Linked DNA regions of Mus musculus. The protein of the gene in region 1 interacts with the protein of each later gene in a pairwise test. Links are inferred from orthologs where the notes say so. Each region holds a gene or a part of one and is shown in the gene's direction. Other genes may lie near its edges.

The links.
Region 2: the proteins of Nme7 (region 1) and Krt18 interact in binary tests that used the Homo sapiens proteins (3 or more experiments, as listed by UniProt). The two-hybrid records come from large-scale screens. The link is inferred for Mus musculus from reciprocal best matches to the Homo sapiens genes NME7 and KRT18.

What each region holds. Positions count from the first base shown.
Region 1 is NC_000067.6:164,331,537-164,335,185, forward strand, and holds part of Nme7 (nucleoside diphosphate kinase 7), read left to right. Parts: intron 1-1,075; coding exon 1,076-1,242; intron 1,243-3,649. UniProt on the Homo sapiens protein: Possesses an intrinsic kinase activity. Displays 3'-5' exonuclease activity with a preference for single-stranded DNA. Does not seem to have nucleoside diphosphate kinase activity.
Region 2 is NC_000081.6:102,027,144-102,030,892, forward strand, and holds the start of Krt18 (keratin, type I cytoskeletal 18), read left to right. Parts: upstream 1-1,072; 5' UTR 1,073-1,135; coding exon 1,136-1,531; intron 1,532-2,322; coding exon 2,323-2,405; intron 2,406-2,679; coding exon 2,680-2,836; intron 2,837-3,475; coding exon 3,476-3,640; intron 3,641-3,749. UniProt on the Homo sapiens protein: Involved in the uptake of thrombin-antithrombin complexes by hepatic cells. When phosphorylated, plays a role in filament reorganization. Involved in the delivery of mutated CFTR to the plasma membrane.

The sequences.
Region 1 (3,649 bases):
GAACTGTATAGCAAAACCTTGTCTCCAATCAAACAAACAGGCCTAGAGAGATCTCTTAGCTGGAAATAATACTGGCTGCAAAAGTGTGAAGGCCTGAGCTTGACTCTTAAGCACCTACCTACATAATGGCTGGGCCTTGTTCCCTGTGAGAACTCCAATCCTGAGTAACAGAGGCAGGAGCTCCCTGGAGCTCTCTGGCCAGCTGACCCAACTTAAAGCAAACTTCAGGTTCAGTGAGAGAGCCTGTGTTAAGACAATAATGTGAGAAATGACTGAAGAAGACATCAGGCAACCTCCTATATCATGTATGTTTGTAGGGATGCACACTTGCATATAACACACATATATAGAAGTAGATATATAGAGAGACCCCAAAATGAAGTAGGACAACTGTTTTTTGGGATTAATCAATATTTGATAAGTAGTTACAGATAAATGGTTATCATAGTCATAAATATTACGGTTAAAAGTTGGTATCTGTATAAAATGTCAAATTAAAGAGGCTCTAAGAGGGTCCCTTTCTTTGCATCACTTCATTGGCAATCACTTTAAAAAGTCAGCTCAGTTGGGGTTGGAGCCTAGAGAGAAGGCTCAGTTAAGGGTGCTAGCTGCCCTTGTAGGTCCCAAGTTTGGTTCCCGGCACCTACACCGAGCCGCTCACAGCAACTGTAACTCCAGCTGCTGGCAAGCCAACAGTGACTTCTGCACCTTCACTCACATGTACCTACCCACAGAAAGGGAGACACACATGAATACACATCTCTTAAAGGAAATACAATTTTTTTTAGTGATTGGGATGTGTACATAAAAAGAAATATGAGAATCTGTCTCTGTCACTCATAGCTGGTGAGTTACTGAAATAACTTGGTCTATTTAGGATATTCTAAAATATATATTTTAATTACAAACTTTTATCACTAGATTGGATTGGAAATAAAGCTTCACAGTATAAAATATAATTTATATACGTAGTTATAAAGTAATAGGATATAGCTGTCTTTTGTAAAATCAATTGGAGACTTTTCTCTGTAAGGCGTACGTTCTTCATAAGTATTCTTACTGTGTCTGTTTCTAGCATGATGTAAAGAATCGTCGCACCTTCTTAAAGCGGACCAAGTATGAGGACCTGCGCCTGGAAGATCTATTTATAGGCAACAAAGTCAATGTGTTTTCTCGACAGCTGGTGTTGATTGACTATGGGGACCAATACACAGCCCGCCAGCTGGGCAGCAGGAAAGAGAAGTAAGAACAGCCGGGCCATCTTTTTCCATTGAAACCTTGCCTGTGACTTTGGCCACTAACTTCTGATTTCCTCTCCTCGGTCATGTTTTCACAACATAGTTTTTCCAGCGACCTAATATAATTTTATAACATTAAAAATATTTTGGTACTGATTCAGGGATTGGTTCCTAATTAGAATATTGAAGCAATATCTGTAGTCTTAGGAGGTGACTGTTTGGATGGGTGGGTGGCAGAGATAAAGCTCTTACACATTCTATCTGCTTTTTATATTTGTCACTAAAACCTAAGACTATTTGAGCATAAGGTTTTCTTCCTAAGCATAAGCATGATGCTGGTACGAATCACGGTAACCCGGGAGACGGTGAAGTTAGTTCTTGCAAAACTGAAGGCTTTGTGGGTTTGTTCTGTCTTGATAAAACTGAATTAAATTATTACCCCAATTAGATGAACTGGGGAGAAATGCTAATCAAAGGAGTGAGTATAGAGAAAGATCCAAAGGTGGGAAATCCTGTCTTAAGTTAGAACAACTATTTGCTATCCTGCTTGTGTAAGTTGGGGGCTAAAACTTATAAAAGTTTAATTACTACAACAATGATCTGAATTATTATGGTAACAGTAGATATGCAGAAGAAGTAAGGAGTGTACGTGATTAATAGAAATGCAGCAGTGCATGCCAGGAAGCAGCTCAGTTGGGGCAGTGCTTGTCTAGCAAAGATGAAGCCCAAAGGCCTGAGACCTAGCCCCGTGTAAAACTGGAGGTGGTGGCACGTTTCTGTCATGCCAGCATGTGGGAAGTGGAGGTAGAAAGATCAGAAGTTCAAGATCATATTAGTTTACAGAGGGAGTCAAGGGCCAGCTTGGGTTACATGTGACCCTGTCTCAAAAAAAAAAAACAAAAAAACAAAAAAAACAAAAAAGACAAAAAAACAAAAAAACAAAAAAACCAAATAACAAAGATCAAAGACAGTTCAAGTTAAGAATGGAAGTTCTAGAAACTTTGGGTGAGATGATGATGAGAAGCTGCCTCAGGGCAATTTAACAGAAGAGATAGGCAAGGTAACAGAGAATAGACCCTGCCCCAAGGAGAGAGCGATCAGAACATCAGAAATCACAAAGCAAGAAGTAGCTTGCTCCAGGGAATTTTATTCAGCTATAGAGAGTGAAATTCTAACATCTGCAAGGAAGTGGACAGACCTGGAGATCATTACATTAAGTGAAAGAAGCCAGATTACTGAAAGATATCAAGTGGGTTTTTTTTTTAAATATGTGGAATATAGATAGATGGATAGGTGGGTGGGTGGATTGATGGATGGATGGATAGATAGATAGATAGATAGATAGATAGAGTATAGAAAGGGGACCATGGAGGGAAGAAGTTTAAAGAGAGTGGGGAGTTGGGGAGTGAGAAATTGTAATAAAATATACACGTCATAAAAGCTAACAGATTACTGGGTGAAGGGAAAGGGACTAACAAGAAGTGAGTCAGGATTAGGGAGGGCGGTGGGGTGTGAAAAATAGCAGACTATAACAAAAATATCACCATGAATCACATTATTTTATATATTAGCTAAAAATAAATTTTTAAAAGACAATTATGTCAACTATAATGTGTGGGCAAACAAAAAGGACAACCCAGTGGGACGGAGTGGGCAGTGCACTGCTCCACTGGGGCAGATCCCTGCAGGAGGACCTGGGGCAGGGTGGGACAGAAGCCTCATCTGAAAGGGGACAGAGGAAGGGACTGGGTAAGCTCGGTCTGTGAGTGAAGGTCAAGGAGGTACATTATGAAAATGGAACACTGAAGCTCATTGCTCTGCGCAACCACTAAGATAAATTTAAATACCAAAACCCAGAAATTCGGGACTGGATAGGACCTGGGGACGATTCTTCTCTTGCTGTCTTACTCATTTCCGTGTCTTCTGCATCCCTGAGCAAATCTCTTTACGCATTGCAAGAGCAAGGTTAATTTCACCTCCGAGTTTTGCAGCCTTCATTCCGTGACTTTTTTGGCTCAATGCTTTGGGTCCCTGCAGTAGAACACATTATGAAGGATATTGAGTGGTAGAGGAAGCTGTTTACCTCAGGGCACAAAAGGGTCTGCAGTCCTAACAGCCCTTCTAAGCTGTGACCTAAAGACCTCCCAGTAGCTGCACCACACACACACACACACACACACACACACACACACACACACACACACTGCACACTCTCTCGCACACATGCAGATACCCCCACATGTACCTTTTTATTATTCTTTCCTTACTGCTTGCCACCCTGATTTTCTTTAGTTTTGGTTTAGAAAGAAACAGAACCAATTGGAGATGCAGCTAAAAAGCAAGCTTTAAAGAAAAACCAAAAACCAAAACCAAAAATGGACTTAATAATGATTCTCTTCTGAAAAATGATT
Region 2 (3,749 bases), on another chromosome or scaffold:
CTAGAAGGTGTCTAGCAAATACTGGTTAAATCTATGTGCTCTTGGGTTGGCTGTGTTCTCAGCTGGTAAAGTGGTCTGCCTGAGGAGTATGAGGCCTTGGGTTTGGTCCTCAGCACCCTGTAACCTGAAAGTGATGGAGTCTCATGCCTGGGATCCCAGCACTTCAAAAGTGGGACGGGAAGATCAGGAGTTGAAGGCCATCCTCAGCTACATGGAAAGTTCAAGACCAGCCCGAGCTACATGAGACCCTGTCTCAAAAAAGAAGGAGGAGGAGGAGGAGGAGGAGGAGGTAAATGGTAGGTGTCCAGACATAGGGATACCTCTTCTACATAATCACAAAGGCCCCGATAAAGCCTCCAGGGAATGAGTTGAATGAGGACATGTGTACCCACGCGTTTGAGGATATGTATTTCCACGGTTCCCTATGGAGCCACAGCAGTGTCTTGGAACCATGGGGCCGGAGCAGAAAAACCAAGAGACCTGCCCTCAGGTTCGTGTTTCTCTTCTTTTTGAGCTCCCAATTTTCTTTCCCCAGGATTCCTGGGGTTCTAGGACTGCCCCCAGACTTAAGCTGGCGACATGCCACAAAATCTTCACCCTAGTGAACCCCTCTTCTGTCTGTGTAAATGGAGTTTGTTTGTTTGTTTGTTTGTTTGTTTGTTTTCGAGATAAGGTTTCTCTGTGTAGCCCTGGCTGTCCTGGAACTCACTCTGTAGCCCAGGCTGGCCTCGAACTCAGAAATTCGCCTGCCTCTGCCTCCCAAGTGCTGGGATAAAGGCGTGCGCCACCACGCCCGGAATAAACGGATATTTAAAACGCCATTTTTTGCCCTGAAAACAGACACTCAGGGGCTAACACCACCTGCTATCCTTTGTGCACCCCTTAGTTATCCACTCCCTGTGTCGGTGAGGATGGCAGGTATGCTGAGGGCGTGTGCAGAAGTGGAGAAGGGCTGCGACCTGTTAGGTCACAGGAATCCCGATCCTGGCGCCCCCGGCTCCGGTGGCTGGGGCGTGGCCTGCTGGGGGAGGTCCCTACCTCCTCCCGCGGCGATATAACAACAGGTCGAGGACTGCCACCCTCCGCGGCGGAACTCCTGTTCTGGTCTCTCGCTTCGCTCTCCTCTCCAGACAAGATGAGCTTCACAACTCGCTCCACCACCTTCTCCACCAACTACCGGTCCCTGGGCTCTGTGCGAACTCCCAGCCAGCGGGTCCGGCCTGCCAGCAGCGCAGCCAGCGTCTATGCAGGTGCTGGGGGCTCCGGGTCCCGGATATCCGTGTCCCGCTCTGTCTGGGGTGGCTCTGTGGGGTCCGCAGGCCTGGCGGGAATGGGTGGAATCCAGACCGAGAAGGAGACCATGCAAGACCTGAACGATCGCCTGGCCAGCTACCTAGACAAGGTGAAGAGCCTGGAAACTGAGAACAGGAGACTGGAGAGCAAAATCCGGGAACATCTGGAGAAGAAGGGGCCCCAGGGCGTCAGAGACTGGGGCCACTACTTCAAGATCATCGAAGACCTGAGGGCTCAGGTAAGGGGCCTAAGGGGGGAGGGGCAGTAGCTCCGGGCTGTTCTGTCTATCCAGTGTGCCCACACCCCCAAACTTGAATAGAGTGTGGGCTGTTGACTCCCTCCACTCTTTCCACATTCACCACATCCCCCCACACACACTCTATGGGACGGAGTTAGGAATACTCTGGACTCTCACCCACAACCTGTAGGAATTCCAAGCGTAGTGGTTACACACGCGAGCCGGCTTCCCCCAAGCAGTGTAGTGGGAAGAGAACAGGATTGGAAAAAAAATAAAATAAAAAGGTGTGTGTGGGGGAATCATAAAATGAACTCAGACACTCACTTCTTTTCCAGTAGGAACAGTTAGAGGGTTAAGCGGATGTGGCTAAGGCTGAGTCATCTAGGAGTAAACAGGAGCTTACCTGTAGGAGGGGCCAGCGGGACAAGTGGGGGGGGGGGGCGCGTCCCAGGACGGGGGGGGGGGGGGGGGTTAGCAGGTGCACCTGGAGAAGATGCCAGGAGAGGATCAGAGAAATCTTGTTGGAAGCTGCTCTTTTGTAAGCAATCCAGATAGTGCAGGCCCTGGCAGAGGGGCAAGGAATCCAGGAAGGGAGAGGAGGCTCAGGTGGGAAGGGAAGACAGAAATACACGCCTCTGACTGTTCCTGGGACTGGGATGGATTCACTGAAACACAAGACGTGTTTTCTCATCCCCCACTTCTCCACACACACACACACACACACACACACACACACACCCTCATGTGACCCGGAACTCTCAAAGCGACTCTCTCCACTTTAATCCACCCAGATCTTTGCGAATTCTGTGGACAATGCCCGCATCGTCTTGCAGATCGACAATGCCCGCCTTGCCGCCGATGACTTTAGAGTCAAGTAAGTCCGGGGCTGCAGCTGGAGCTAAGAATGGCCTACTCCCAGAACTGTATTAGAGTAGGGTTCCTTCCTTTCCGAAGTTTATTCAGGTTAGGGTTCATTGACTACTGAGTTAGCTCTTCATCTGTGCAGCCCAGTTTAAGCAAACGCTCCAAGGCCAAGAATCGTGCTAAGGGAATGACTCCGTGACTGTTTATGGTGGGCACGGGGCTAGTCTATGGAGGTGGCACTGGTTGAGAAGGTTCAGGCCCTCTGATCACCTCCACTCCTTCAGGTATGAGACAGAACTAGCCATGCGCCAGTCTGTGGAGAGCGACATCCATGGACTCCGCAAGGTGGTAGATGACACCAACATCACAAGGCTGCAGCTGGAGACAGAAATCGAGGCACTCAAGGAAGAACTTCTGTTCATGAAGAAGAATCATGAAGAGGTAAGCCGGGCCACTGACCAGGCCTAGGAGCTAAGGGCCAAGACTAGGCGGGCCAGGCTGCCCCCAAAGCAGCCTAGCATGGAAGCAGAAGCCCCGGCTGTTAGCCTGTTTTGATTAAGAGCAGAGCCATTGGCTCACACATGTTCTATGGCTCACCTAAGTTACACTATTGAGAGTCAAGATAACATTAAGCCAGTTAAGGCCTGGCTTGTGCATCACTACCTCCTGGAAAGCTGAGACAGGAGGATTGAGTTCAATGCCATCCTGTCTTAGTCTAGTAAAACAGAGATTGTGTGAGTAAGACCCTGAGTTGGAGGCAAAGGTGGGGACTGCCAGTCTTAGGAGCTGGTGCTCATGTGGGCCTTCTGGAAGAAGCTTAAGGTAAGATCTGTGGAAGGAAAAAGCAGCTACAACGAGGAGAGGATATCACCAGCGAGTGGCAGGTTCAGGCTGTCAAGGAGTGGCATTCCCAACCAGCTGGAGCAGAAGCCCAGTCTTAGGCTTGCCAAGGGTTTCCTCTGCTCTCTTCTGCCTTTACACTCAACATCACCTTCTAGAAAAGGCCATCAGTAATGAAAGGCTGGGCTGAACTGACTTTAAGTGTCACCTGCCACCCCCCTTTATTTCTGCCTTCTTTAGGAAGTCCAAGGTCTGGAAGCCCAGATTGCCAGCTCTGGATTGACTGTGGAAGTGGATGCCCCCAAATCTCAGGACCTCAGCAAGATCATGGCGGACATCCGCGCCCAGTATGAAGCGCTGGCTCAGAAGAACCGCGAGGAACTGGACAAGTACTGGTCTCAGCAGGTACAAACTAGGAAAGGCTAGCTGCCCGCCCCCACTCCGCTTAAGGTAAGCTCTGTGTGAAGGGGAGGTGCCAAGGACAGCAGGTCATGACTGACCCTCCTCACCCTTC